Arabidopsis thaliana: one gene and its partners. The protein of the gene in region 2 purifies or fractionates together with the protein of the main gene of each other region. This does not show direct contact. Each region holds a gene or a part of one and is shown on either strand. Other genes may lie near its edges.

Region 1 (9,695 bases), on a different chromosome or scaffold from region 2:
CTGCCATTGAAACAAAAAGGCTTTCCACTCAAATTCTCTGAGGTTGCACTTGCACATGCATACAAACAAATATTCTTCTAATTGTTTGCGCGTAAGAAAAAGAAAAAAAAAACTATATCCATTATTGAGAAAAGTAGCTGAAAAATAAATAAATTAATAGACAAAAATGTTAATCAAAATTTGCTTTTGAGTAAAAATTAACCAGTTGAATGAATAAAATATAACTTCTACAGAAGGTATAAGAGTTTACATGTTCTAATCCTCCATTAAACAATTATAAAATACCCACAAAATCTAAAACTTTTAGGTGAATATTCATTAATGAATAATTGAATACCACTAATTAATTATGTTAAATTCATCACAACTTTTTCATGATACATCACACATAAACCACCATAATATAATAATGAAAGAAATGTGAATTTGGTTGAAAAAAACAAAAGAAAAAAGTAAAAAGGTTGAAGCAAGAGACTGACTTTTATCCAAAAATGTGCTTGAATTTTAATTAAAAAACACGAATTCTTCTTGACTTTCGTTTCAAATCTAAATCCTTCCTCGCATAAACTCTTCCCTGAATCAAAAACCCATTCTAATAAAAACAAAGACGATCTCAAACACGCTTCTTCTTCTTCCTCATTCCTCAATCATCCCTAAGACGTCACCTCACTTAAACCCAATCCAACGCCGCCGAACCAAAATCAACTTCTTCGGTTCTTCCCCAATTCAATACTACTTTCTGGGTCGTCGTTAAATCCCTAAATCTCTCTCTGTTGTTACCTTCCCATGGGATGGTCACTAAGAACTCTCATAAGAGCAATCTGGGCATGACAAAGTCCATGAATTTCTTTCAGAACATCATTAAACCTTTCAAACGCAGCTCCAATCGAGGTAAGATCCGTTTGATTTGTTGATTCTTAGTGTAAGATTAGGTTTTTGTGAAATTTGACTAACTTTTTCTTCGTTGACTTAAAGGTCTTGAAGATGATATTGAGCGAATTGCTGCTATGGAGCAAAAAGTTTTCCCATTTCAAGTTTTAGTTTCCGCTACCAAAGATTTTCACCCGACCCATAAACTCGGTGAAGGTGGTTTCGGTCCCGTCTTCAAGGTAACCCTAATTTTGACATACCCAGAGCTTAAAGTTTCCATTTTTAGGGTTGTGGTTGTATAATTGTGTGTGTGTGTTTTCGTGGGTTTTGTTAGTTTGGCTGATGAGGTTGATTGGTGTGTAATAGGGAAGATTACCTGACGGGAGAGACATAGCAGTGAAGAAGCTATCTCAGGTTTCAAGGCAAGGCAAAAACGAGTTTGTGAACGAGGCTAAGTTGTTGGCTAAAGTTCAGCATCGCAATGTTGTTAATCTTTGGGGTTATTGTACACATGGAGATGATAAGCTCTTGGTTTATGAGTATGTCGTTAATGAGAGCCTCGACAAGGTCCTCTTCAGTAAGTTTTTCTTCTCAATGAGATTGGTTTGTATATTAGGATAAATGATATTGAAAGAAGATGGTTTTAACATGTAGTGGTTGCTTCATTTGAATGCAGAATCCAACAGAAAATCGGAGATAGATTGGAAGCAGAGGTTTGAGATCATAACAGGCATTGCTCGAGGACTGCTCTATCTACATGAAGACGCGCCAAACTGCATCATCCACAGGGATATTAAGGCTGGCAATATTTTGCTGGATGAAAAATGGGTTCCTAAGATTGCAGATTTTGGGATGGCTAGACTCTATCAGGAAGATGTAACACATGTCAACACTCGTGTTGCAGGAACCAAGTATGCTCTCTCTATTGTTTACCCTTAAAAAGCTCATTTACATATCTTCTTGTGTCATTTGAACTCTTTTTGTTTGTTGGTGTTTCATGGTAGAATGTTATTTAACGTCCATTGCTTCTTCTTTTCTTATGCGCAGTGGTTATATGGCGCCAGAGTACGTAATGCACGGGGTTCTATCGGTAAAGGCAGACGTATTCAGCTTTGGGGTTTTGGTTCTGGAGCTCGTAAGTGGACAGAAGAACTCGAGTTTTAGCATGAGACACCCTGACCAGACTCTTCTTGAATGGGTAAAGCCTCTAGTCTCATGCTCCATTGTTTATAGGGTTGTTGTGTGATGGCCTGACCCAGCCAATATTCTTCAGCGTAATATAACCAATGCTAAATTCTTTCTGAATGTGACACAGGCATTTAAGTTGTACAAGAAAGGCCGGACCATGGAGATACTAGACCAAGATATAGCAGCTTCAGCTGATCCAGATCAAGTCAAACTCTGTGTACAGATCGGACTACTCTGCGTTCAAGGCGATCCGCATCAAAGACCGAGCATGAGACGGGTATCTCTACTTCTCTCTAGAAAACCAGGACATCTAGAAGAACCGGATCATCCTGGTGTCCCGGGATCTAGATACCGTCGGCGAACACAACGTCCTTCAGGAGCAGCATCACTTGGAACATTGTCGACCACTGGTTCCAGCACAGATTCTTTCGGTTCAAACCTGAACACAAACACGGGAACTGGTGTTAGAGGTACCCCCGCATCTTCTAAAGCTTCAACTCGGAGTAATGCCACTAGAAGTGCTGGTCAGAGCTCTAGCTCAGACCCTCACGGGAAACGACATATGAGTTATTGAAGTACATAAAATCTGGTCATAGGTGATTGTAAATAGCGAGCTGCATATATAATATTTGTTTCATAATTTATTTAATTTTGCTTTTGAAAAGTAAATTAATTTATTTTTTTGACTGCAGTAGTGATTTAGTTTTGTAGTATGATTTGTTATATTAGCGGGAAAAAATTATGATTCATTTGTTACATTTGTATATTAGAATAATCACTTGTAGTCCCATTATCTAGGTCCCCACTATTGGCCTCGTACGTATAAAAGCATATTCTCTTGTACGTATTAACGGTACCTTACTTTAAACAAAACATAAAACTAAAATGTTTTTTATGCGTTTTAAATTATTTTTCAGTTAAAATTTATAAAAAGGGTTTTTGTAAACAATTATTTTGATAGTAAAAGAAATACTAACTGAAATTAGTGGAGAAAATACACAAACATATATTTAACTTTCTTTAATTTAAAATATACAGATTTTGTTTCTTTAATTTTTTTTTTCAAATTTTAGTTTTCATTTATTTTTAAATAAAGTATGACATGTCATAATGTTGTATTTTGATTTGTCATTAAAAAGGGGGTGAATCAAATTGGTTCACTCTAGAGGTGAACTTCGCCAAAGAATCACAGACCGTCAGTGTTAATCATCAGAGACATCAACGTAATGTTCCTCTTGGTTACTTCTTGCTTTAATGTTCCTCTTGGTTACTTCTTGCTTTCTACCTGATTCAGGTTCTTCAGTTAAAGTTTCTCTTTTCATTTTTGGGGTAATGCCCGGTTGGGCCTCGTTGTTTTATTTAGGTTCTAGTTCTAGGGCCTGCGTGTCCTTTTAGGCAGTTATTGCCATGTATGTTCTTTGGGCCATTCGTGCCTCTGTCGGCTTGTTGGGCCTTGTAATCGTTTCGGCTCTATTGGAAATTAAAAATAAAATATATATACTAACCCGTTTTGGGTAAAAAGTTAGGTCCACTAAAAGACGAAAAGAGATCCTACCAAAAAAAAAAACGAAAAGAGACGAGCCACACGCGTCACCTTCTCGTTTAGCCTCTTCATCTCCTTTCCTCAGACTCACTGTGTAAAAAGGCTTTTATTTTATCATCTTCAGGCTTATTCGATTTTCTTCAGATTTGAAATGGTGTCGTTCAAGGTCTCTCTCGTCTCTACTTCGCCTATTGATGGCCAGAAACCTGGGACTTCTGGACTCCGTAAGAAGGTTCGTTCGCTTTCGCTTCTTCTCCTTGTTATATCAATCCCCGCGTTCTTATTTCGAAATTGGATTAGAGATTTGAATTCTAAATTCAGATCTTCGCAACGAAATTGATTTCTTCATTTAGTTCCGATCTTATGGATTGAATGAATTTTGTGTGTTGGTTTTAACAATTTGATCCGATCCGATGAGATTTGAATTTACGCATTGTTTCGTAATTTTACAGGTGAAAGTGTTTAAGCAACCAAATTACCTTGAAAATTTTGTCCAGGCAACGTTCAATGCTCTTACTACAGAGAAAGTTAAAGGTAAAGATCTCTCTTACCTCTCTTTGATTGTTGTTCAGGTAAAGGTCGATGATTGCAAATTCCATCTAAGAAAGAGTATTTGTTAACTTTTTCAGGTGCGACACTTGTGGTTTCTGGTGATGGTCGTTATTATTCAGAGCAAGCTATTCAGGTAAAAGCTTTATATGTCCTTTGAATGATGGCAAACTGCGTTTTGCATTAACTTATAATTCTTAGACACTTTACTCTTATTTTAGTTGTTTTGAATCTTTTATTTCATAAAAAAGATAGTTCGTCAATACCACTTTATTTCCTATCTGGACAGATTATAGTAAAGATGGCAGCAGCTAATGGTGTTAGACGTGTGTGGGTTGGTCAAAACAGTCTGCTATCAACTCCTGCAGTATCAGCTATTATTCGTGAAAGAGTAGGGGCTGATGTGAGATATCTTCCTCTAAACTCATACTACTTACTTTTCTCTTGGGTTGTTATCTAAGGCTATGCATGTTTGCAACATGTAATGACGTGATGAGAAACTAACCCGAGATCCAATTTCAGGGATCTAAAGCCACAGGAGCATTTATCTTAACAGCAAGTCATAATCCTGGTGGCCCAACTGAGGTCAGTTCTCTTTTTGTTCTCACTCTTTTGTGCTTGTTCATTCGATACCCTCACTTAGTATTATTTGAATCCTAGCATCAGTTTTGTTAAACTATATGTTCATCTCTCTGCTTCCATATGCTGATTTCCTGCTATTCTATTCACAGGATTTCGGAATTAAGTACAATATGGAAAATGGTGGACCAGCTCCTGAATCAATCACTGATAAGATTTACGAGAACACAAAGACAATCAAGGAGTACCCAATAGCGGAAGATCTACCCAGGGTACCTAACATTTCTGATCTTATTACCTGTCATCATCTTTTTTTCATCTTGTATTTGTACTAATCATGTTTTTTTGCTGGTCTTTTTGATTGAATGCAACAGGTTGATATTTCTACTATTGGTATAACCAGCTTTGAAGGACCTGAAGGAAAGTTTGACGTCGAAGTTTTTGATTCTGCAGATGACTATGTTAAACTAATGAAGTAAGTCTTTCCATCTTTGTATCTGAGAGAACAGTTCTTGAATCTACTCCCTCTATGGTCTATGCATTTAAGAGAATGGTTCCAGAATCTGCGGTATCGATGATCTAAAAGATTTGTTCGTCTCTTCAGGTCAATCTTCGACTTTGAATCCATCAAGAAATTGCTATCTTATCCAAAATTTACTTTCTGGTATATAGTTCATCAACATCCATAAATCTTTTCTTTTGAGTTTGTTTGCTTGTATAGGCTCCATCATGTCTTTGATATTTTATTTCCCATCGTTCTATGAAGCTATGATGCATTGCATGGAGTGGCTGGAGCATATGCACATCGCATCTTTGTCGAAGAACTAGGTGCACCAGAAAGTTCGTTGTTGAACTGCGTACCCAAGGTATCATTTTTTTCTTCTTTCTTATTTTGTATAACCAAGAAATATCATTTCCTGAAAGGATTATAAATACACGTTGAACAGTGTCTTTTATGATTTATAACAACACGACAATCGGACAATGTACAGGAGGACTTTGGAGGGGGCCACCCGGATCCCAATCTTACCTATGCTAAGGAGCTCGTGGCACGCATGGGATTGAGTAAAACTGATGATGCTGGTGGCGAGCCTCCAGAGTTTGGCGCCGCTGCTGATGGTGATGCAGACCGAAACATGATCCTCGGTAAAAGGTAGCAGAGACTAATTCTCTTTTAAGTGAGATCACAGAGATGTGGAGCGGATATACCACTCTCCCCGTTAACCAAAAATATCTCTTCTCCGCAGGTTTTTCGTAACTCCTTCGGATTCAGTTGCTATAATTGCTGCAAATGCTGTTGGGGCCATACCATACTTCAGCTCTGGTTTAAAAGGTGTTGCTAGGTATGCATCCCGGTTCTTCTTTGTTTACTCCAGTTCATAGATTGAAAACGCTGGACTTTGGTGTCATACGTTTTTGTTTATTATAGATAGTAACAATCTTTTCTCATTAAATTCTCAACTTTCACATTCGTATTGCAGGAGCATGCCGACCTCAGCTGCACTTGATGTCGTTGCAAAAAACTTGGGTTTGAAGTTCTTTGAGGTAGATGTCATTGTGAAGCTTTTCTCTAGCTTCTATTCATTGCAATCACGTAACATAGTCTATTGCTCTAATACTTCTATATTTTAGGTTCCAACAGGCTGGAAATTCTTTGGCAATCTAATGGATGCTGGGATGTGCTCTGTATGCGGAGAAGAAAGTTTTGGAACCGGTGAGCTTCTATTGCTAGATCTTCACATGTTTTAAAACCGTAACAACCCTACACAACTCACAAAGAAGCTTTTCGACAGGTTCGGATCATATCCGTGAGAAAGATGGGATCTGGGCAGTTCTTGCTTGGCTATCAATACTGGCTCACAAGAACAAGGAAACCCTTGATGGGAATGCAAAACTGGTGACGGTTGAAGACATTGTCCGCCAGCACTGGGCTACATATGGCCGTCACTATTACACTCGATACGACTATGAGGTAAAACTGACAAATGTCATTATTGGTTGTAGACAATATGTAGAATAACCAATTACCTTTGACCAATTTCTAAATATTTGCTCCATAGAACGTAGACGCAACTGCAGCTAAAGAACTCATGGGACTTTTGGTTAAGTTGCAATCTTCACTTCCCGAAGTCAACAAGTATCTCTCTCTCCACTTAATTTCAAATCCATTCCTTTTTACTTGTATGACTTTCAGACTCACGTTTTTGGATAATTGGTCAGGATTATAAAGGGAATTCATCCAGAGGTGGCAAATGTTGCAAGCGCAGATGAGTTCGAGTACAAAGATCCAGTAGATGGCTCTGTTTCAAAGCACCAAGGGATCCGATACTTATTCGAGGATGGATCACGACTTGTAAGTCGATATGTGTGAAATGGATTCATAACAATTCAACAACCTGTGAAATTGTAAAAGCTAATCCGGGCTTGTTTCTCTTGTTCATGAAGGTGTTCCGTCTCTCGGGAACTGGCTCAGAAGGAGCAACAATAAGGCTATACATTGAACAATACGAGAAGGACGCCTCAAAGATCGGCCGAGATTCTCAGGATGCTCTTGGTCCCCTGGTCAGATTCCCAGATACCTTAATTACTCCCAAATTTACGCATAATCGATCTTTGTCATGTTTATTAACACCAATTGTTGGTGTCTGATTTTCACAGGTTGATGTTGCATTAAAGCTGTCGAAAATGCAAGAGTTCACCGGCCGATCATCACCAACTGTTATTACATAAGACAGCTTTCAGAAGACGCTGTCTCCAATACTACTCTCATTCCAACTTCATTTCTTATGAATTTGGGTTTTGCTTTTTTCCTGTTATCTGTTATCTTACACAAGTATACTTCAATACATATAATTTTAATGGAATATACATTAGGTTGGCAATTGAATTTCTAGCTTTGTTTGGCTCCTCCAAATAAAAAAGAATTGCCACAATATTGGAGCATGTGTGGCAGATGGAGACGTAGCAAGAGTAAAAAGCGAATCCAACAATAACTGATACCTAAAACCTACGGTGTACAACTATAGATAATGGACCCGAGAGGTGGTGATGACAAGCCAGAAGACAGATGTTTATAATTTGTCTCTTGAGCTTGACCAACAAAAACATTCTGACAGTTAAAAGCTAATGTTGGGCATGAATTTCGTGAATCAGATTGTGCCATGTGTTAGTTTGTATAAGTGAGTCAGGGTTCACGGGTTCTTTCTTATTTGGTTTTTAAATCCAAAAGAAAGAGAGGCATCATTACCATCCAAACACTCCTCCCACTTTAGGCTTTCTTCCTCTGTCCTTTCTCCATATTTGTTGTCTTCTACTAAACTTTTGTCTCAACAATGACTGATGCTTTAGCTAACCATCAACATTGTAACATACAGTTGATGGTTAGCTATTTGCTATACATTTGTCTATTTCTCTTGCTTCTATAGTCAAAGTATAGAGTTAGCTCGTATAAAAAGATCAGCATTTAAGTATAAAAAAAATTAGAATGATTTTATGTATAGTATTGTCTAACTTTAGGTGAAATCACAACTGATTATAGAATCCTCGAAGAAAAATATTAAAAAATCAAAAGGCTTAATATTAGCATTTTCTTATGCAGAAATGCTTAATTAATCAAAATAAGTCTTTTCACGTAATTGATTCATGTAACTATAGTAAATTGTTGATAGACTTTACTCTTTAGCAGTGTTCTTTATGGTATCACAGTTACAAATACAAAAAGATTGATTGAGTTGGCTCTTTTGTCCGTATTAGTTCATACTTGTAAAAAAAAACTACAATGTACATATATGATTACAAGACTTTAAAATAGTGTATTATTGATTATTGTACTTCCCTCGTTTATCTCATCTTTAAATTTTATATATATATATATATATATATATATATATTTATCTTTAAATTATAATTGGATAGTGATAGAGCGTCAACCGAAATATATGATATCTTGAAATGTAATTGTTACAGGTTTATAGTATTGTTTTTTGTTTGATGTATTATATTATATACATGGCAAATCATAGGCCAAGTACATTGAATATGATTTTTTTCTATTCATAATAGATACTTCTAGTTCTTACTTGTTAGTCTTTGGAGAAAATTCGATATTTCGATCATGTCGATCATTACTTTTTTTACCACAATCATCAGTTCAGGAGAAGTACTGAAGAACTAATATGTATCCACCTCAGGCTTGATGGGGAAATCTAATGGATAATGCTTTCACATTCGTTGAATTTTTTTTAGTTTCTAAAAAACATAATAAGTGAGCAATACTTCAGTGTTCGAATATATATTCAAAACCGTGTACTTTTTTTATAAACTTCAGGGTTATTGGAGTTACAGCGCATGCATGCAATATTATTAATTATGCATCGGCTTCTTCATTAATAAATTAAGAATCTTTATAAAAATTGTACCATATGTTCAATTATTTATTTATCACGTTTTCTTAAAGTACTTATATATTTAATTTACCAGAAAATAATCGAAGAAAAAACGACATGAATCTGATTCTTTTTACAGTACTGCTGTTTTCATTTACTTGCAAAAACTGAAATAAATCCAAGTAAATAATAATTCCAAGGAAAACTCACATATATTTTCAGTATTACATGCAACAACGAGTAGTACTTTTAGTTTACTAATACTTTTTTAAGTATAAAAGTTCATAGTTTCGAAAAAAAACAAAAGACTCGAAGGATCGATGACTGAGATATTATTAATTTATTATTGACTCGTCGGCATAGCGGTTAACTAAAGCCAGCGCATTGCTAGTAAGCTTCTTGACGTCATCGACTCGAGAGCAGACGTCATCTTTGATAGAGTCGTCTTCGTGGACGTCTTTGAACCCGTCCGTACAAGTATACTCATCAGTAAGAGCTGCACTAAGCCAAGTCTTGACATTACTCATCTGGAACCTAAATGACTCGATCGAGCCAGACGCGGAGACAAGCTCCTTCATCTG
Region 2 (8,621 bases):
AAAAGTAAAAGTTTTGATTTTTGTGTAATTTTTGTTTTCTGGTGAATGAGAGAGAGTTAAGAGATGATCAAGTTGAAAAAAAAAACATGGTGGGTCCCACAGCATATGTTTGCGGGTTTTTTCCTCATTTTATTATGCCTCAAAACAAATAAAAATTACTACTGTATTTTTATTACATATTTCACTTCAGAAGATATTTAATTCCATTTCAAAACTCTTTTATTATTGTTCATAAATTTATCTGAATTGTTATTGTTCTTTTATTTAAATAATTCGAGCTTTATTTGGATTTATGCTGTTTTTATTCATAGAAACAAGTATTTTAATATTATATACTGTCATGTCAAAACTGATTTCACCTCCCGGAAATGTTGATGATCAATAATTTACTTCCACCAATATCATGACATATTTGACCAAAGTCAAATTGCCAAAGAAATTTCCCATCATTCATCGAATAGTGACTAATCTATAAAAGTTGTATATCATGCTGATTTTTTTTTTTTTTTTTTTCAAAGTCATAACACTGCTCTCCAGTTGAATCTTAGATCACTAGAGTAGTAGAGGTCGACTAGATGTCTTTATCTAGCCATCTATGATTCTTCTAATCGAGCTAACTCAATCGGATTATATCAATAATATATTATAGAACTTTATTAAATAGTTTCTTTTTTTTTTTTTGGGCAAAACTAAATTGAAAAAATAATAGGGAAAAATTGAGGAAAAACCCCTTTACAATCAGAAATCCCATAAGAAAGATTATCTTGATGAAAAGATTAGTTTAGTGTAATCAATAAAAATAAATAATTACAGTATTTCGATCGTCGTATGTCTTAATTTACTGCGAACACATGGTAGTAGGTAAGATTGGTGAGAAGATAAAAATAGATGTGAATGCTTTTAAAATATAACGGTGGAGCAATATTGTCAGAATAAGACAGGTAGCCAATGCGCAGTTCTTTTCAAAATGTTTTTTCGACAACACTTCTTTCGAAGAAATAACGTTTTTATTTTGTAGATTCATATAATTTAGCAAACAAAAAAAGAACACTGTAGATTGATATGTATTTTGAATATATATTTTTAATCAGTCTTTCAAATTCATAACTATGGAACTATACTAGTACCATTTTACCTCAAAGTTCAGACATCAGATCATAAGATAAAAGTATTGAACATACAATTAAGAATTAGGCCTGTTACTAACTTAGGAAACATTAATGATTAACGAACGATATGTTCAAATTTAAGCAGACGAAAATACTACAAATCAGTCTAATGTATAAAATATTTCTGATAGAATGACTATCAGAAAGATAATAAAAAGTGGAAGGTGACTGCATTTTTATAGCCAAGCCGAGACTTTTTCGTGGGTTACTTAACTAGTTTATAGTATTTATATTTAGTTTTAGTTTTAGTTTGGTTTTATCAATTGTATGTGAAGCGGTAATAGATTAACATGATCATAATCATTTTTAGGTGTGTTGACTTTGTGTATGATGGTAGGTCAATGGGTCATATATAGATTACTTTGGATCTCGTTGATAAAGCTTATACACACGCAGGCAAATCGATCCTTTTCCTCGGTACAATATACAATGCGATTGCAATTTACAAGAAATTAGAATACGTTTTTCCACGTAAAACAGTAAATTATATGCATCATTAATTACAAATATCTCAAATAAAAACTAAAAACCATTATTGCTTCATTAGCCACCCAAGACAAATGAATTAAAAAAATAAGAAAGAATGAACTAGAATCTAATAGAAGATGCATAGGAAAAATCAAATAGAGTCTAATGGAAAATGCATAGGAAAAATCAAATAATATACAACCGTAACCATAAGATCAAGAAACATAACTTAATGATACATGATCGAGATTAATAACAACAAAGTACTTTTGAATCTGGCAAAAAAGCCTAAATCATACAGTTGGAACGTGGTGTTAGGAAATAATAGAGACTTGATAGGTCTTTGAGAACCCTTTGAGCCTAGGATTCCTCTTTCTGCGCCTTTAATCTCTTCCCTCATGCTTTTAATCCCCATTAAATATATTGTAAACACTAAACTAACACAAAAATTAGATGTGTTACGTCCGCTTCTGATTTCTTATTTAACTTAAACCAACCATCAACATCAAAAGATTTTATTATACAAACATATGCATGCGCATATTTAAATATATCAATGGTCCTGCTAATTATTTTATTCGATTTTTAAAAATATTTTGCATCTTTTCAAGAAAAACGATTGATGGAACCCAGATTTTTTCGTTTAAGATCAATTTGAACCATCATTCAATTTTATTTTTTAAAATGTGAATTTTCATTAATAGTGTACAAAATACAAAAAGTACCCATACTTTTATATATATTAATTTAAAAAATAAATTATTTTCGCGGTGTACCGCGGATTAAACTCTATTATATATATATATATATACTTATTTTTGTATCTCAAACATTTATACCAAGTTATGATGCAATGACTGCACTAATACTATGAGCCACTAGATTAAATGTCTTTGTCGCAATATTTCATGATGTGTATATATAAAATTTAGGTATGGATGTTTATAATTATTGCGTGGACGGCGAACAAGAAACAACGGTGCACAACGACAAATGATTCGAGTTATGTATATTCTTGATAACTACTATTAAACAAAACAATATCAATAAGAACTAAGATCTGAGAAATGAGAATCCGAGGAAGATGAGATATATAGGGTAATCAAATTAGATTTGGTAAAAGAAAAAAATAAAAAGAAAGAGAACAAGCTAGAGAATAAGGCAACAAGTATAGGTTTCACATGTTTGTGTCGACAGGCCACACCCCCATAAAAGGCTTGCTTGGCTTTTTTGTCATTGTATGCATCTAATCCACTCCACCAATTTTTTCTCCTTCACTTATTAATTCGATTTTTTAGCTATACACAGTATTTTGAAATTTGAACAATTAAAAATAAAAATGAGCATTCATCCAAATGGGTTATTGTGACTGCCTATAGTCTTGGATGGGAATGTGTAAATTTTAGTTCCTTCAAAGATTGATACTTATTACGTACAGATTGTAGTAATAAACCTATTTACAAATATAATTGCTGATAAATCAAAATTTATGGTTGTTTTAGTCGAATTGTTAATCATGTGATGGTCAAATGGGTTATCATGTGGGTCGAAGGACTAAGCTTCATGTTTCTTGAATTTTGTTATTTTGGGCCTTAAGAGGTCAGGAAAAGAAGCCCAATAATCTAAAACCCATCATTTGTGGACTTTTCCACAACTTATCCAATAACGTGGCACATTTGTGACTTTTCCACCAACTATTTTTCGGGTTAATTAAAAAAGACTTAAGAATCAATCAGTCCTTTATTTCCGTCCTTAATTCTTTTTACTTTCCACATATAGCATGAACCACGACGGTTGGATAAATTCAACGGTCACAATATTGCCACGTGTAAGCTTTGTATCTACATCCTCCAATCAACGGCCAAGTCTTGGTTAAGTTTTAGCCAATTAGAGTCACTCAGCTCATATTAGCCTTTTTGCTCTTTCTTTGCTTCTCTAACAAACCAACTTCAGCGACAAGATAACAAAACGCTTTCACACGATCGGATAAAATGGCGGAGAAGAGCTTTAAGTACATCATCCTCGGCGGCGGCGTCTCTGCCGTGAGTATCTTCCTTCCTCCTTAAGTTTTTTCAGCCATTGCTTTCGATTTTCGAAGAGCTTGATTCGATTTGTGTTGCGAAATGCCACAATTCTCGTAGTTTTTTTGGCTTGGAGTTTGTTATTGTTAATCAGATAGCGATTACGATGATTATAGATTGTGATTCATAGATTTAAACGTCAGATCGGCGGCTCTGCTTCTAGTTTCTAGTATCGTTGAGATGAATTTACAATCGAAACTTGATTTTGAATCAAACAATCGTATGTTGATTGATTGTTTTTTCGACGTAAAACATGGATGTAATCTGGTTTCCTCTGCACAGAGCATCTTAAAAACTTCCGATTCAGTTCTAGTTCTTTTGTTGTTGTTAAGTGTGAGAAAAGTGTATCTCTGCAAAATCACTTGCAGATGGTTAATAGTAAGCATAGTATCATCAGGATCCTCTTTAGTTTATACTAGCTCAGATTAATCGTATAGTCACAGATGTTAATGAAGAAAATTCCAAAGAAATAACTAAATACAGAAGCAAATTCAACTCTTAACCTTTGTTGTATCCTTTTCTCCATTTTTGTGTGTAGGGATACGCAGCTAAGGAGTTTGCCAATCAAGGGGTTCAACCAGGAGAATTGGCTGTTATCTCGAAAGAGGCGGTAAGCTTCCTCTCGATTTGGAAAACTGTGATTATGCAGTGTGTCTTGTAACCTATGATATGATGATCCTTATGTGGACTTGTCTTCTCTAATCCTCACACCTTATTTACTCTATATGGTGGCTTAGGTGGCTCCATATGAACGCCCTGCACTTAGCAAGGGGTATTTGTTTCCTGAAGGTAAGACAATTTTCTACTTTACTTTGCTAACTACAACGTTTAATTTTGATTTGCTGAAACTTGGCTTTGGTTTATGCTTTTTATGATAATCTTTTTTTGTTGCAGGGGCTGCTAGACTTCCAGGTTTCCATTGCTGTGTTGGTAGTGGTGGAGAAAAACTGCTTCCTGAATCCTACAAGCAGAAAGGTAATGAACTGTCTGCAACATCACCAATATCAATGCCCTGCTCATCTGTGTAGTCCCACTGATCTATTATAACATTACATTACTCTCTATACAAGCTTAATTACTTATGTTATTGGAACTAAATCGTGCTATGATTTTTTTGTTATCCATTGTGTTTGTAGGAATTGAGTTGATACTAAGCACAGAAATAGTGAAAGCTGATCTCTCTGCCAAGAGTCTTGTCAGTGCAACTGGGGATGTCTTCAAGTATCAGACGCTCATAATTGCAACTGGTTCTACTGTAAAGACTGATATACTTGCATTTCTCACATCAGAATGCTTCTTATGAATTCTATTACAAGAAGAAAGTAACTCTTTACCTTCCTTTGCAGGTTCTCAGATTGACTGATTTTGGAGTAAAAGGTGCAGACTCTAAGAATATCCTCTATCTGAGAGAGATTGATGATGCCGACAAATTGGTTGAAGCAATTAAAGCTAAGAAAGGTGGAAAGGCTGTAGTTGTTGGCGGAGGTTACATTGGTCTTGAGCTTAGTGCAGTTTTAAGGATCAACAATTTAGATGTCACTATGGTTTTCCCTGAACCTTGGTGCAGTAAGTTGACTAGTATCCTTTTGCTATTCATGTAATATATGACATTGTTACACGTAATGAAAACAAAATGTTGACGCAGTGCCTAGGCTTTTCACCGCCGATATTGCTGCTTTCTATGAGACTTACTATACAAACAAGGGAGTGAAGATCATTAAAGGAACAGTGGCATCTGGGTTCACAGCTCAGCCAAATGGAGAGGTAATCAAAGAAACATTAGCTAATAGAGTGGGCAATCCAATTTAAGTTTTGGTTTGATTTTATAGAAACTAAAGTCTAAAACCAAATTACAATGTTATGTTTAGGTTTGGTTTCGTTTGACGAACTCGATTAATTAGCTTTTCCAAATGGTCTCGTTGCAAATGTCTTACTTGTATTATATAATCCTCCAGGTGAAGGAAGTACAACTCAAGGATGGGAGGACATTGGAAGCCGACATTGTGATAGTTGGGGTTGGTGCAAAACCATTGACATCCTTATTCAAGGGACAGGTCGAGGAAGATAAAGGTGGAATTAAGGTATTTATCTGCTGCCTGTGCGTCTCTTCTTCTTCTTATCCCGTACCATTCTGATTTGGATCTTTTAAATTGACTGCTTAACTGTTTCACACAGACCGATGCATTCTTCAAAACAAGTGTTCCAGATGTTTACGCTGTTGGTGACGTTGCTACTTTCCCTTTGAAAATGTACGGAGACGTGAGAAGGGTCGAGCATGTTGACCATTCCCGCAAATCAGCAGAGCAAGCTGTTAAGGTAAATAATGCTTACAATATGGCTGATATCGCTACACCAAAACCCTATTAATCCATACCATAAAAAATGCAACGCAAACTCTTGAGGCCTAAATCTTATAGATTAACATACAGTTGTATATATCTGATGAAGCGTTTATATATGTGATACATTGTGGCAGGCGATCAAAGCGGCTGAGGGAGGCGCAGCGGTGGAGGAATACGACTATCTTCCATTCTTCTACTCTCGCTCCTTTGATCTCTCATGGCAGTTCTACGGAGACAACGTAGGAGACTCTGTGTTATTTGGAGACAGCAATCCATCAAACCCAAAACCAAGATTTGGAGCATATTGGGTTCAAGGTGGTAAAGTGGTTGGAGCATTCATGGAGGGAGGTAGTGGTGATGAGAACAAAGCCTTGGCTAAAGTCGCCAAAGCTCGACCTTCTGCAGAGAGTCTCGACGAGCTCGTGAAACAAGGAATTTCCTTCGCAGCTAAGATCTGAGTGAAACACAACCACCAAAACAAACTCACGTTTTCTCTTCTATGTTAAAATAAAAACTTGTTTAGCTATAATAAGTTGTGTGTTTGTATTGTCTCTCTAAACTCCATGAGAAGAGTCTACGGCAGAGGAAACCCTGAACCACATTCACATTTTAGATCATGTGTTTGGTTTTCTGTGTTTCAGTATCTGTCTTGGTTTCTTAATGTGAACAACTCCAAAACCACATTTACTGTAATCTCAAATGAAGGGAGTAATTTACAATATGAAAGCAAATGGGCCTTGAAATAGTAATTCGTAGACTCTAATGGGCATTGGACGACCCTTGAAATGTCAATTCGATCTTTAATTGGACATCTCTCATTGTTCCATGTCCTCGGCTCGACTAGGTTTTCTTAGAATTAGTTTTGATATATACACAAACCGAAGAAAACTTGAAAATTTTGAGTTAGAAATTCATAAATTTAACATGATATTAGTCCCTTTTGCTAGTGATAATCAAATTTATTTCCAGTCGTAGAGTGGAATTCAGTTAAATCTACTCATTCTAAATATATTAGTTAGGAATAATGTTATTTATAATGTGGGATTGTGAAAGCAAATATTGATTAATGTGAATGAAAAGATGAAATACTATGAGCGTCAGATTCGCTTTTTGGATTTTCTCTTTTTGTTGGTTAAAGATTGAACAAAAACTTAGCAAAAATTGAACTGCATTTAAGTTATTTTCTTTGTTCGATTTTGTTAGTAATTCTTTTGGTTTAGTTTTAAATAGTATAACTTTGTGGTTCTCTGAAAGAAAACTTGTTTGGACACTTATAAACGCTACGATCAGATTCATAATTTTAAAGTAATGGGAATTACGTTGGGTATGTTCACATGTGATGAGCCAAACTGTTATTAATTAGCATAACGAAAGATGTGATGCAAGATGCATATTCATAAAGTTTGTTGGTGGGGCAAACTCTATTAAGTATGGAGGTCATAGTGTTAGGTCTTCGTCTTAAATTTAAAGTAAACTGGAAATAAATAAGACAGTGAAGCACAACCAAAATTTTCATTTAATATCTCTTATTTTTGTGTGATATGCTTAATTTGTGAGGAGGATGACGAATAAACTGATTTTATGTGTCTACGTTTTCCCCCCTAATAAAAAGACAACAAATATGGTGGGACATTTATGACTTAAAAGAACAATCAACCTAATCCACTATTTAGAATATAAGTTGTAATTTTTTTTTTTATTAGTCGACGAATAGCTGTAATTTGTGTGTGTGTGTGTGTGTATATATGACGTTTTTCAGAATTAACAAGTACTACAAATCTATGATCAGTTCAGTTTCAAGGTTATTAATCGTGTTTAAGAAATTTATCTTCTGAAACGTTTTTATTCAGATCACATCTTTCATCATCATCATTATCCTCTAAGATTTAAATTTCTTGTAACCGATAGACAAAAACAATATTATTTATATAAGATGCGGAAAAGTTTAAGATGCGTGGTGGTATTTAGTTGAATGCCCAAATGTGTAGTAGATACAGTCGTCTGCTAGAGACTTTTGCAGTAGTTGAATAGCAGATTTAGAAACTTTTGAAATGTGCTAGGAAAAATTCATGTGAATCCCTTTTGGTGGAAAGTAAGTTGCATAGCATCCTTCGATATCAGTTAAATAATGCAAGAAATGGAGGCGTATATATTTTACAATTCTCTTGTATATATCTCAAAGTTATAGACATACTAATTAAAGAACACCTTATTTTATATTGTCATGTCTTTCTCATGGTTAAATGAGTAAATCTTTCTGTGGGCCAAATTATAACCAAGTTCACTATTGCATGCATTAATTAATGTGAAATTACTTATAGAATGACACAAATCTTTCATTTCATTACTAAACTAACACCTACTAAAGTAACAAAACTCGTGTACGCTTTTAAAAGTTATGTTAGATTGGTCAGATTATTTTTTGATCAGCCGATTTTATTGACCCTTTCAACGAATTTGTGTTTTTTCAGTTTTGGTAATGTACATTGTTTGCCCAAAAAAAAAGAAAAAGAAAAAAAGAAAAAGGTAATGTACATTGTATTTTTACTCAGCCTGTGTAG
Region 3 (7,621 bases), on a different chromosome or scaffold from region 2:
AATTTCGCCCACCTCATTGGATCCTAAGGTAAATTTGAAAAATTCCTTATCATCGCCCTACAGATTCACAAAAAGAAAACAAAGATTAAGGACTGTATCATTGTAGCTAATGAAACAAAAAAAAAAAGAGCCAAAACGTGTTTATACCTCAAAAGAACCCCCTTTTGTTTTATTGCGAGCTTCAAATATGCGTCCATAGTACCCTATTGTGTAACCGTCCCAGTCAACCTAACATACCCAGCTTCAATTATTTATAACTACTAGCAAAACCTATGGTCTTTGAAACATTAATTTGCTAACATAGATACAAGCAAAGCAAACTCCAAACTCTCTAACCAGAGCAAACTTCTAGATAAACTTGAGACCAAGGATACAAAACCATAGATATGCAGAAATTTCCTTACCACAACTTTGTCTCCCTTTTTTGCTATAGGCCCAGTTCCTACTCGCAAATCCTGCAGCATCTCAAATCTTCAAGTTAATGATCACCGCATAGTCTAAACTATATTAGATATAAGATATGGGACTAATGAGGGGTGACCTTATACTGAAGACCAGACTGTGTTTCTGTATAATCTGGATACTTCATTTTTGTTTTGCCATAATCCTTCCCTTTAAGCGCTGGCACTGTGAATGCAAGTAATATACCAAGAAAAGAATGTGGCTTTAGAAAAAAAAGAGGCTATATCGATGATTTCAACAATCACGCACGGATAAATTAACTTCACCTAAAGAACACATCTTTCTCTCACAACCAAACTCTTAACAGTGGACAATCAAACAATGTTCCAAATTACAAATGCCAATAACTTTACTTAATAAGGCACAAAGCAACAACTTAATCGAAATGTAACCCTGAGAAAGATTCTCTGCCCTCCAAAAAGAAATTGAAAATTCTTACTGTCAGCAAATTGAGAAGCTGATGCAAAGTCTCCATCTTTAGAATCGTATGACAATGCTCCAATCAACAAACCAACAGAAGAAACCAACAACTTTCTGCGATCAAACTCTCCAGAATTATTAACACATCCACAATTCCCACCTGTTTTCAAAACTGAAGTTATAATTCAATTCACTGTTGAGGAGGAAACAGAAAAGTAAAACTGTAGAAGCAAGCCAACCAGAAGAACGAAGAGGAGCGAAGTCATCTGATTGGTCAGCTAATCGAGCAGCCACAGTCGTCCGGCATCTCTGAGAATCAAAATGAGAGATTCAGTGAATAAAAAGGAAGAAGAAGAAGAAACAGAGAGATGGTGCGGCGTCGTACGGTGGTGGAGGAAGTTCCGGCGAGCGCTGTGGATTGAGGGAAGCAGCCAAAGGACGAAATTGACGCCATTAGAGTGAAACTTAAAAAACTGATTTTTTTGTACGTCTAAAGAGAGATGAGAGATAAAGTCTCAGCTTTTTATGTAGAGAGGCTTCTAGGAACAATTGTTCATATAATCCGAACAAAGAAGAAGACAAGGACACTTTTTTACTCGCCAATTGTTTTCAGTGAAAATGTAAATTACAAATACGGTAAAAAGTAACAAACTCTTCTGAAGCATCATCTTACAAGAACAAAGAAAATAGAATAACCCATAATGTGGAACATCAAGCAAAATCCATCATAACCACTTTAGAAAGCATGCATAAGGATTGAAGAACAAAAGCCAAAGGTTCTTCTTTTTATTTTAGCGTAACCAAAAACATAATGATGACTCATTTCCTCAATGGCTGGCTAGTTTGAGAGTGTTGGCCTTGTCTTGCAGTGTACCGAGCAGACTCTCGAAACTCTTCTTGAAGGAATCTACTCCTTCGTCTTCCAACTGTTCTCCTACTTTGTTCCAGTCTATTCCCAGCTTCTCTAGTGCACTGTAAATCCCTTCTGCTTCTGACACATTCGCATCTATTGTCCTCTTCACTATTCCATGATCTGCGAATGCTTCCAGGGCTTGATCCGGCATGGTTGATACCTAAATCACACCCACAAAAACTATGAATATACTTCCAAAGCGTTAATACAGCCTATTGACTTCAACACAAACAAAAAGATGACTTACAGTGTCAGGTCCGATGAGAGGAGCGACATATAAGGTGTCAGAGTAAGCTGGGTTCTTTACACTTGTTGATGCCCAGAGAAGTCTCTGTTTCTTGGCACCTTTCTTTACCAGAGCTTCCCATCTTGGGCCAGAGAATTTCTGCTGGTATAGCTTGTATGCTAATGCAGCTTGAGCCACAGCCGCCTGCAAGAGTAAACATATCATGTGTCATAAGCTAATACTCTACTCACAGTGGCTGGTGTAAGATCTCAGCGATGAATAGAGCTTTACCTTCCCACGGAGATCTAAGGCTTCAGGGGTACCAATTTGCTCAAGCATCTTGTCCATGAGAGTATCCACCCGACTGACAAAGAAGGAAGCAACACTGGTAACTCTTGAGAGGTCATCAAGTCCAGACGCCTCGAGGCCATCCAAATATGCATCGATCACTGCTTCATATCTGGCGATTGAGAATATAAGCTGAAACAGAACAGAACATATGAGAAACGATTTAGAAAAGGTAACATCAGTGCATCCTTGGAACACCCTTGAACTAATCTAGTTTCAGGTTTAAAACGCCCAAGAAATCCAGTGATCTAGCACATCATCACACAATACATGAATTTGAAGTATTATGACTTATTTTATTTTGAAGTTCTTTAAAACTTGCAATAAGAAACTTGAATAATGAAACATACTAGGATAACTTACCGTGACATTGACACTTATTCCAGCTGCAATGACATCCCTGATGGAAGGAATGCATGGAGCAGTAGCAGGAATCTTAATGTAGACATTACGACGGTTGACAACCTTGCTAAGATATTTAGCAGCTTCAACAGTTCCTTGGGTATCATCAGCAAGCCTAGGTGAAACTTCAACAGAGACATAGCCATCCGCACCTTCTGTCTGGTCATAGATTGGCTCAAAAAGTTTGCAGGCATCCTGAATATCCTTCACCACAAGTTCCCAATACGCACTTTCAATGTCCTTTCCCGATTCCACAAGTGTCCTAATAGTGCATGTCAGGTATACCATTAACATATCAGACAACTTTTCATATAAAGAAGAACTCTAAAGTTTTAATAGCATGTTGTTAACAACCACAAGTCTAAGACAATCACAAAAAGATACCTGAATTGATCATTATAAGCATTTGAAGTGGAAATGGCTTTTTGGAAGATCTGCAAATGTATAAAAAGTGAAGAAGTAAAGACAAATGAACAAACACAGAGCAAAAGCAAAACCAAACACACAAAGAGAGATGATAAAATTACCGCAGGGTTGCTAGTAACACCTCTAACACCACGAGCAATCAACGGGAGAAGATCTGTGACTGGACGGCAAAGATTATCATACCAAGGACTCTGACCTTCCTTCTCATATAGATCATGAAGAGTCGTTCTCTTTCCAGCAGTTCCATTTCCACCAGACACTGAACACCTCACACTGCAAATTAAACAAAAAAATCAGACTTTTACCAACCAAAAAGGGGAAATACAGTTGCTTTTCCTAATCCATCTTATAAAAAATGTTACTTTGAGATTCGTGGTACGTTTCCAGCTAAAAAGATTCAATTTTTGGTGAACCCCAAGAGCGAGAAACAGAGACAAAAGACATGCATCAAATGGATATAAAGACTTACGAGAGGGAAGGTATTGATCGTTGGTTATAACGAAGAGAAAGCTGAGAAGAGGAAAGCTTTGCATTCAAAGCGCGGAAATTGACGAAGGATCTAGGTAAGACGGAGGAAGAGGAAGAAGATTTGGAGTCGACGCAGGTGGCGCGGGGAAGATTAGCGAGATTCGAAATGGTTGCCATTTTTTTCGTCGAGGGAAATACGAAAGTGTTTTTTCTTGGTTTGATCGATCGGAGGATAAAAACAAAGAAAGGGGCTTAAAAATGGGGTTGGTGAAGTTTTGAGTTAGGTCGGGAACGCAAACGACGAAACTATATCATGATGGCGATAGATGCTCATAGTTGACCATTTTCTGTCTTATTTTACATTCTAATTTCTTACAATTTATCCAAATGTTAAAACAATAAATAGTTATATACTAGATAACAAATTTATTTAATTTAGATAAATGTGATTTTTTACATCAGATGGTTTTAATAAACTTTCTCTAATGTATGATTAATCAGTCTGAAATTAGAAAACAATGAATAAAATAATAAGAGATAGAGCGGTGTCTTATGATAAACACGAGAGGTTGCTTAGTGAGGACCTTTGGCTTGTAATTAGTGTGTAATGGCCGTTGTTAGTTTGCAAGGGTCGGAGAAGTCACTTCCCATATCCCAAAAGGAAAACAACTTACAAGAGATAAGTCACTTCCCATATAGTTCATGGCCGTTGTTGGTGACCAAAACAAACAAGATTTTAACATTTTCATCTCCCACAATGGTTTTTACCCAAATCAAACTTTGGCTTTTGTGTGTCAAACATTTTTTCTTAACTAAAAAAGATTAAACAGAATAAAATATTATGTTTTTGTGTTCTTAGCCAATCTAGAAAAAATCTAGCTATGCCACTTTTGGATGATTGAATATTCATTCACGGGATGTCTTACGAATACAGTTTGAACTTATTCGGTTATCTTCCTGTAAACTATCAATCAAAGCTGATATATTACCTTTTGTTGTTTGTTTCTACGTTGGTTTTTCTCATACCTTTAGTTTTTCTTTTATGAACGTTGAGATACTATCGAAACTCAAATGTAAATACAACTTTTTAATTGGAATGACGATGTTTAGAATTATGAGATACGAAAGGAATCTCACTCATACATAGGACAAATAGGCATGTTAAATAATAAACACAGACTATGAACATAGTCGTCTTTTACTAGCGATGGATAAACGAAGATTGAGTATACTTCAAACAAAAATCACAAGTTTGTATTATTCAGCAAAAACAAGTCAATCTTGCTCTAACATGCCGGAAAATATTAATTAAAAGAAAAAAAGAACAAGTGAAGATCATCATTCAGATCCAGACTCTTGACTGTTGTGCTTTTATTAATCAACCGATGAGTAACTTATTCTCTTCCAGGAAGCTGTAGGTTGGTACTTCCAGGTTGTATGGTGCAGGACCTTTCCTAATTCTTCCAGATATATCGTAATGTGATCCGTGACACGGACAAAACCAACCACCATAATCACCAGCATTAGGCAAGGGGATGCACCCCAAATGAGTGCACACTCCAACAACCACTAACCATTCTGGATTCTTGACCCTAACCGAGTCTTCTTGTGGGTCCCTCAGGGATCCAACATCCACACTATTGGCCAGCTTGATGTCATCTTCTGTTCTTCGCCTGATGAAGACGGGCTTTCCACGCCACTTGACTGTCACGGTAGTTCCTGGTTCTATGCTCCCTAGGTCAACCTCAAGGGATGCAAGGGCAAGGACATCTTTACTTGCAGACATGCTCACAATAAGCTTCAAAACAAGCAGGCGGAGGACAGAGGCATAAACAAACCTCCCACCCGACAAGACAAAATAGGCGAATGCACGCTTGCTAGGGTCACCAGGTGGGTAACGCTCATGGTTATGGTCATCATAGACAATCTTTGAGTTAGGCGTTTTGACAGCTTCGACTGTGGCTGGGACTTCTGAACCAAAACCTATCTCATTTCCTTGAGCAAGGACTTGAGAAGAGAAGCCTGAAAATAGCATGAAACATTAATATTTCACATCAAAGGCAAACTTTATACTTGGTCAAGTGTTCTACAAGAATAAGAATAAGCCACAGGACTACCACAATCAAGATGTGACCATTGATGTATAATCTTCTAAGGAAAAACAAAAGTACATAAAACGGATTCCATGAAGTATGAGATCCATCCAAACAATTCAAACCATCGTATCAAACTCGGGGAGTGGAAACTTAAATACGATAATCTCCATAAAAAAAACAAGAGAACAAATTCAATGATCAACATGGAAACAGAAGAACAAAAAATTGGAATCTAGAAGCCAATGTGAATCACACTATGGATAACGCATTCCAATGATTTACAAGCAAGGAGCTTTAGTCATCAACCAAAGAATTACATCTAAACAGGTCAATCCATAATCCATCAATAAACTCAAATGTTCATTTCCTTCTGGACGAAAGAATGAATCAGAGAAGCCAAGTATACCAAATTCATCCAAACAAATCAATAATAACAAATTCAGTGAAACCTTAAATACTAAAACCAACGTAATAAACCAAGAGAAAAAAATATATTGATCAGATGCTGTATATTACAGAAACGCTTAAAACACAACAAAATTTCCAATGCTAAGAACAAACAAAGCTCTTTGGTTAAGAAAACATAAATTTCAGAATGCAAGTTCCTCAGCATGCCTTTAAACAGCTATAAATCCTACAAACATAGTATACAGTTAAAACATCCATGTCCCTAACAATGAAGAACTCAAAAGGATTGATACACAAGATCAAATTTCAAAAACCAAGAAGCCAGTGGTGAATCATACTATGATTAACGCACCGAAAAGAGGAAACTTTCCTAGTAAAACAAAGGATTATCTCAGAACTGAACAATCCACACGAAAGAAGTAATCATCAAATGCAATACAAATCCAGCAAGGAGAAGAATGTAGCCAAATGGTACATCAAGCTCATGGAATTCAAATCAGATGACACGTTTGTTCCCACGGATCATTGCAGATACAATACTAGAAATCTCAATCATTCCCGTGAATCATACAACCAAAAAAAGAAGACCTTTTCAAAAATCAATCAATCAAATAAAACTGCAAAGAACCACCGAAAATGAAAAATCAATGTAGAGAGAGAGGGAAAGGGTTATAAATCGGCAAACCTCTGATAAGGCTACGGTGGTAAGATGAGAGATCTGCAGAGGGGAGGGATCTGGGAGCTGAAGAGGAGTCGCCGCCACCATCGGAAAGGGTATGGTCACGGGAGACGACGAAGGAGGTCGCAGTCGAAGATCTCTGCGAGACAGAGAAAAGCCTCCTCCCTGCTACACGCAGCATCTCTCAGCTCAAATGTGAATCTAGGGTTTCGCTCTAGCTGAACAGAGAAATCCTCAGGTTTGGGACGGCCGATGCAAAACAAAACATAAGAGACTACTTACTAGTAAGTCCCTTAAAAATTGTCTTTGAGAAAAGGTCAATTTGTTTTGTTTTTTTTGGTTTTTGCGTATTACTTGATATTTTTTTACTTCAGGATTTTGATGGCATGGTTTTTTTTCTAATTTTAATTAATAAAATCTTTTGGTTTTACGATATAATTTTTTTGTGTGTGTGTATTTGTAAGATAAATTATTTTATTTGTATAAAAATCGTAATTTTTAATAATAATAATAGGGGGTCTATACTTGGTAAAGGATATATTTTGTTGTTGTAATGTTTAAACAAGATTTCCAACAAAAAGACTGTTTTACATCTGTGTGAACTTTTCAATACTAGAAGAAAGAGCTAGAAGGACATCATCAAAGAAGTAGTCATCGATGAAAACAATCTGAACAAGAAAATTAGGCTAAGATCCACAACCAGAATATGACATCTTTCATCAAAGTAGTAGTCTCGAGGTTCACAATTGGATTTCTCACTATGGAAGAGAAGG
Region 4 (5,792 bases), on a different chromosome or scaffold from region 2:
AGCTTATACGGAAGGGTGAGATCGATGCTGCTCTTGCGAAACTCCGAGATAGCTATCCCCAACTTGTACAGGTGGATTGAGGAACTAATCATATCAGTTGATTCATATTGTTACATTGAAAATATGAACTCTTACCTCAATTGTATAATCTGCAGAACGATAAATCAGAAGTATGCTTCCTCCTTCACTGTCAAAAGTTCATTGAATTAGTACGGGTATGCTCTTCATTCCTTATATATTAATCAGATCCACTGCGGTTAGACTGACCTCTCTCTAAGTAAATAAATACTAAAATGTGACATACTTAGATTGGAGCACTAGAAGAGGCTGTGAAATATGGACGAATGGAATTAGCCAAATTCATTGGTTTAACTACATTCCAAGACATTTTAGAGGTAATGATGGTTCTGCAACCTTAAACTAGTGGTGGTGTTTTGGAATTTTTTTCAATATTTAGTGGTTTCAAAGACAAGAGATTCGAGCATCTTGTTATCTATTTCAGGACTGCTTTGCTTTGCTAGTGTACGAACGCCCCGAAGAATCGAATGTAGGGTATTTCCTAGAAGAGACTCAAAGGGAAGTAGTGGCAGACACAGTGAATGCTGCGATTTTATCTACAAAACCAAAGGGCAAAAATCAATCGCATTCTCATCTAGAGACACTTCTCCGACAACTAACAGCTTGCTGTCTGGAACTGCGGTCGCTTAACGATGGTCAAGGAGAAGCGTTCTCGCTTAACCGACTTCTTAGAACCAACAATTGGAAGAGGACAAAAAAGACTACTTAGCTGTGTCCATCTTTGGAAACAAACTTGGCTTTGATTGTTGACAGTGGCTGGGTTTGAACTGTTACAGGCAGCTACAATAAGCGGTCAAAATAGATGATTGAAACAGACGGGTTGGAGTTGAACCTGACCGTTGGATTCTTTTCTTCTCTAAAGTTTGAAGAACCAAAATTGTAAAATTTAGTTATTTAAATTTAGCTTGCCAATGTTCATCAGTAAGCTTGAAATTCAGTAGACAAATACTCAAAACTTTTCTTATCACTCTCTCCTAGTATGCCCCCTTCAAGTTGGTGTCAGCCTCAAACTTGGACAATGGCTTACTAGACAACTTAAGCTTGCCACTTTGTCGAACGTCGCAGTTTTCGAGAGCATCTAAGAGATTGACAACATTATGTGTTCATGAAACACAAGGTTACAAGAAGTATGATCTTGTGTTTACTAAATAGGTTTGATCTAACCATTGGTAAGAGTCAATTTTGGTTCAGTATCTGCAATAACTGATATATTTTATATCACCAGTTGGTAGCTGTTGTATTCATATGTAGCAAGCAAGCAAAGTAGAGAAGGATAATCAAACTCAACTTAAATATAGAAGTCTTGTTCAAAAGACAAGCAATGTCGAAAACACACTACTGAAAAAGCAACAGATCATCAAGTTTCATAGACCCAAGGGTGAACGCTGCTCTGCCAGTTGACAGGTCCATCAGGGAACCACAAAGCAATCTCCTTTCTTGCACTCTCGACAGAGTCACTACCATGGATCACGTTCCTGCCAATGTCAATAGCAAAGTCCCCACGGATAGTTCCAGGCTCAGAAGCTGCTGGGTTGGTAGCTCCAATGATCTTTCTTCCGGTCAAGACAACATTCTTTCCTTCCCAGATCATAGCAACAACAGGGCCGGATACAATGTAGTCAACGAGTCCACTGAAGAAAGACTTTGAAGATAAGTCTTCGTAGTGCTTCTCAGCAAAAGATCTCTCTACACTGATCAACTTCAGACCTGTATAAAATACAAATCTACACTGATCAGAAACACAAGACTAACACTCTTATCTACCAAATTACATAATACAAAAGGTCCAGATAATAACAAGTTCTTATGCACAGATACTATAATCTAAAATCTATTAGACAACACAGAATACTTGTCAAGTCAAACAAGTTTTACTAAACTATTAGTGTTCAGAAACTAGACCAAACCATAAGCAACTATAGTGTCATTACAATCTCAATTCAAGTAACAAAGTGACTTTAATTAGATCTAAGACCTCTAATTATAATGTAAAATCAAGTTTGGTAATCGAAATCATTACCTTTCAAAGTGAAACCCTTCTTCTCAAACCTGCAGATGACTTCACCGATCTGAAAGAAAAAAACACAAACATATCGATCTTTTAAGTATAAACAATCCAAAGAACTGAATACAAAACCAAAATCAGATCAAGATCAACAAGTATGTATTAAGAGAAAAGGGAAGCTTACGAGTCCTCTCTGGACGCCGTCAGGCTTGATCATAATAAAAGTTTGCTCCATTGTTTTCTTATTACTTGTGATTCGTAGGAGGCAAAAAAGATTTATATAGAGTCCGCACATGTAACCCTAATTCTGTTGAAGAATATTCTAACCCTAGAATATTTGCTACAAATTATTGGGCTTCCCTTATTATTATGTTAGGCCCAATTAAATAAAATATTGGGCTTCATAAAAAAAACACAAATAATATTTTTTTGCAACTTAATTATTTATGTCAAACAAACGTAGATTAATACTGTGATATTAAAAGTCGTTCGCAATATAACTCTTGCACGTGTATAGATTTTGCAAATCATATAAATCTGTACATGATTATTAAAATTACGTCGTTTTGAGCCTTCTTTTAACAAAAAAAACGGCTTTTACTTATTATTATTTTAAGGTTCAATTAGTTATAAAAATTGGATTTTGTGCCAAAAAATTCTCTAAGTAATTTTTTTTGTAACTCAATCATGTAAGTTAAATAAATGCAGGTCTGCGATCTCAAAAGTCACCTATAGTATATCTCTTAGACGTGTATAGATTTTGCAAACCGTATGTTTATATATAGGTTATTAAAACTACGTTGTTTTGAGCCTTTAAACAAAAACGCAAAATAATGTTGGAAAATAGATTTGAACGCATGGCATATTGAACTATTCAAAGATTACTTAACCAATTGAGCAGAGTGATTTTGTTAACTTTACAAACCGATTAATATATATAGTTTAAACATGAATCGAATACAACAATAACATTATTTCAGAATTGTAAACATAAAACTTGACAAACAGCGCGAGCGGTTACGATCGGATCAAACCCAAGTCTGAACACGCTCAATTCTTCCACCCACGCCTCGTCTCAGAGCTTTCCTCGATGAAGAATAGATTAATTGCGATGAGAATGAGCCCTTGCTTGCTCTACAAATTGTTGATGATGGCCAAAGATAATGAAATCAGTGGTGATAAACAAACTAGTTCACGTGAATAGAGATTTCGGATTGCTAATAAACCTAATTTCCTAAGAAGATGAAGAAACCCAGAATGCAATGTTCACAATATATATTTATCGGTATGCAATATCAACAATAAATCTTGCAGCACAATTGGTTAAGTGCATTATTTAGTATTATAGGTTATTGGTTCCAATCCACTCTAGTAATGTATTATTTTCCGAAAAGATGCTCAAACGACGTAGTTTAATAACTTATATACATACTTATACGGTTTGCAAAATCTAAGCACGCCCAAAGATTATATAAAATCTATGCACGTGGTTATACTGTGGGTGACTTTTGATATCAGAGTATTGACCTACATGTATTTAATATGAAAGGTTATGTTGCAAAAAAAAATATTTTTGAGGGTTGTTGGCACAAAACCCTAATATATTTGTTAGATTTGGATTAAAAGAGTTTGATCACACCACTTTGATGCATTCTCTCATGTTGAAGATATACACAACACATTTTCTAAACAAAAATTGTAGTTTTAAGGATTTTATTTTTTATAATATATATATCAAGTATATGAATTGATATAGAAACTATATATAAGTACATAAATTATTCGATGTAGCCAATTACTTCAAAAATTGATAAAATGATCTCAAACACATTTTTTAATAGAGCAAAGTTCTCTTTCTCCATCTCTTGCTACTCAATCATTTTGTTGTATCTACTTTATCATCTATTCGCATAAATTTGTACATAACCACTTGTTCTTAAAGATTATTTCTCATCACATTCGAAAACACTGTCGCTAACACATCTTGCCTAACTCTTTTAGACCTTCAAATATGTATTAAAGAAAGAAAGACAAGTTTTCTACATGATGAAAGTTTGCTCCATTTTTTTTGCTTGCTTATGACCCATGGGAGGCAAAATGAGTTATATATAGTCTCCACAAATTTTTAACTCTAATTATACCGAAGAACATTGTAGAGCTAGAATATTCGCTGCATTTTTAGTGTTATTGAGTCTTCACTTATTATTATTTTAAGGCCCAATTCGATAAAATATTTGTTAGATGTGGGTTAGAAAGACACAATGGTTTTATCTCACACCACCAATGATGCATTCTCTCATGTTGAAGATATAAATAACACACTTTCACAGCAAAACATTTAGTCTATAGTTTTAATTTTTTTATTTATTAATATATGTATCAAGTATATAGTTTTTTTTTAAGAACAATCGACTATAAAAAAACAACCAATCGAAATATAAGTTGCAAGTTTCAAAGTGTATCCAACCATTTGTTTTAAATGATTTGAGTTTTTATGATTTTGTTGATCTTAAGTGAATTTAGAGTAGTTGTAATGATTTGTTTGAAAATCTTCCCAAATTCCACTTAAATCATGTTAGTTAGATATATGTGTTTTCAACTAAAAAAATCCTCAAAATTATCTGAAATCCTCAAAAGAGATATAATGGAGGATGTTGTGTTTTATTCAAAGTCACATACAACCTCTCACAAACATATATTTGATTGTAATTAGGATCTAGATATATGAAAACTCATGATTGTATGATGAATCGATGTAGAAACTATATGCATGATTACACATAAATTGTACAATGTAGTCAATTACTTCAAAATTTGAAAAAGTGATCGCAAACACATTGGTCAATGGACCAAAGTTCCCTTTCTCTATCTCCTTCTCATCAATCATTTTTTTGTTGTATCTACTATATCAGCTATTCACATAATTGTGTATCTAACCACTTGTTCTTAGATATTACTTCTCATCACATTCAAAATCATTGCCGCTAACACATCTTGCCCAACTCTTTATACCTTCAAATATTTTCTACTAACATTTTACTGATTCTGATACGGATATTTTGATGTTTATCCGAGTTTCACATATTCAAAAAGTATGGATTCAGATAATTTCATAACCTCTATATTATTGTCCACATCTAAAAACCACATAGTAAATGACCTGGAAAGAACAAACTAGGGTTCTAAAAATGTAAAACAATGGAGCAGTTATATATGGGAAAGTCCAGTGAATAAAAACAATTTTCAGATGATGATAAGAATAACATATTTCAATTAAAAGAATGATAATATGAAATAATAAACAATGAAACATACAAAATTATATAAAAAAATATTAAATTCATAGAGATTGGATTGATAAAATTCATCTATTTTTACTTTAAACATGATTAGCAAACCTTAGTATTAATAGAACTAGGTTTTGAACCCAAGCTACAGGTTGGTTTCTTCTACATCTTTTGTAAACGTTCAATACGACTAATAACAATTATTAAAATATTATCTTTCAAAAATTAGTGTATGGAATAACATACATCTAGTAAATCAACAAATTTACAACAATATTAATTTCTATATATTTTAATTACTGGTTGTTTTTCTCTTTTAACCAAACATTAATAATTAAGAAAGCCACCCCATGAATGGAACGAATTATTTTAAATACATAATTTGCAAAATTGTATTGTAGATATAAAATATTAACTGTTAG

What was found.
Region 1: the proteins of MDAR1 (region 2) and PGM2 fractionate together in Arabidopsis thaliana (co-fractionation; one large-scale study listed by BioGRID). This does not show direct contact.
Region 3: the proteins of MDAR1 (region 2) and TRA2 fractionate together in Arabidopsis thaliana (co-fractionation; one large-scale study listed by BioGRID). This does not show direct contact.
Region 4: the proteins of MDAR1 (region 2) and NDPK1 fractionate together in Arabidopsis thaliana (co-fractionation; one large-scale study listed by BioGRID). This does not show direct contact.

Annotation. Positions count from the first base shown.
Region 1 is NC_003070.9:26,666,784-26,676,478, reverse strand, and holds PGM2 (Phosphoglucomutase/phosphomannomutase family protein), read left to right. Parts: upstream 1-3,312; coding exon 3,313-3,387; intron 3,388-3,596; coding exon 3,597-3,833; intron 3,834-4,053; coding exon 4,054-4,135; intron 4,136-4,230; coding exon 4,231-4,286; intron 4,287-4,439; coding exon 4,440-4,553; intron 4,554-4,672; coding exon 4,673-4,735; intron 4,736-4,881; coding exon 4,882-5,001; intron 5,002-5,103; coding exon 5,104-5,204; intron 5,205-5,333; coding exon 5,334-5,393; intron 5,394-5,495; coding exon 5,496-5,595; intron 5,596-5,721; coding exon 5,722-5,882; intron 5,883-5,976; coding exon 5,977-6,072; intron 6,073-6,210; coding exon 6,211-6,274; intron 6,275-6,361; coding exon 6,362-6,443; intron 6,444-6,522; coding exon 6,523-6,701; intron 6,702-6,789; coding exon 6,790-6,866; intron 6,867-6,949; coding exon 6,950-7,082; intron 7,083-7,174; coding exon 7,175-7,291; intron 7,292-7,387; coding exon 7,388-7,459; 3' UTR 7,460-7,833; downstream 7,834-9,695. Other genes in the region: AT1G70740 (Protein kinase superfamily protein), read left to right, coding at 828-891, 976-1,109, 1,237-1,447, 1,547-1,781, 1,918-2,104, 2,186-2,632; AT1G70720 (Plant invertase/pectin methylesterase inhibitor superfamily protein), read right to left, coding at 9,450-9,695. UniProt on the Arabidopsis thaliana protein: Catalyzes the reversible isomerization of alpha-D-glucose 1-phosphate to alpha-D-glucose 6-phosphate. The mechanism proceeds via the intermediate compound alpha-D-glucose 1,6-bisphosphate.
Region 2 is NC_003074.8:19,599,374-19,607,994, reverse strand, and holds MDAR1 (monodehydroascorbate reductase 1), read left to right. Parts: upstream 1-3,540; 5' UTR 3,541-3,628; coding exon 3,629-3,679; intron 3,680-4,000; coding exon 4,001-4,096; intron 4,097-4,256; coding exon 4,257-4,328; intron 4,329-4,455; coding exon 4,456-4,507; intron 4,508-4,612; coding exon 4,613-4,693; intron 4,694-4,854; coding exon 4,855-4,973; intron 4,974-5,064; coding exon 5,065-5,284; intron 5,285-5,363; coding exon 5,364-5,482; intron 5,483-5,673; coding exon 5,674-5,799; intron 5,800-5,893; coding exon 5,894-6,034; intron 6,035-6,194; coding exon 6,195-6,518; 3' UTR 6,519-6,782; downstream 6,783-8,621. UniProt on the Arabidopsis thaliana protein: Catalyzes the conversion of monodehydroascorbate to ascorbate, oxidizing NADH in the process.
Region 3 is NC_003076.8:4,300,371-4,307,991, forward strand, and holds TRA2 (Aldolase-type TIM barrel family protein), read right to left. Parts: upstream 3,946-7,621; 5' UTR 3,843-3,945; coding exon 3,667-3,842; intron 3,471-3,666; coding exon 3,299-3,470; intron 3,206-3,298; coding exon 3,156-3,205; intron 3,034-3,155; coding exon 2,733-3,033; intron 2,502-2,732; coding exon 2,313-2,501; intron 2,226-2,312; coding exon 2,043-2,225; intron 1,956-2,042; coding exon 1,710-1,955; 3' UTR 1,422-1,709; downstream 1-1,421. Other genes in the region: AT5G13410 (FKBP-like peptidyl-prolyl cis-trans isomerase family protein), read right to left, coding at 13-57, 148-228, 405-455, 542-627, 902-1,042, 1,122-1,191, 1,268-1,336; AT5G13430 (Ubiquinol-cytochrome C reductase iron-sulfur subunit), read right to left, coding at 5,044-5,687, 6,855-7,029.
Region 4 is NC_003075.7:5,920,010-5,925,801, reverse strand, and holds NDPK1 (nucleoside diphosphate kinase), read right to left. Parts: upstream 2,319-5,792; coding exon 2,268-2,318; intron 2,148-2,267; coding exon 2,099-2,147; intron 1,786-2,098; coding exon 1,436-1,785; downstream 1-1,435. Other genes in the region: AT4G09340 (SPla/RYanodine receptor (SPRY) domain-containing protein), read left to right, coding at 3-71, 156-215, 309-395, 503-787. UniProt on the Arabidopsis thaliana protein: Major role in the synthesis of nucleoside triphosphates other than ATP. The ATP gamma phosphate is transferred to the NDP beta phosphate via a ping-pong mechanism, using a phosphorylated active-site intermediate.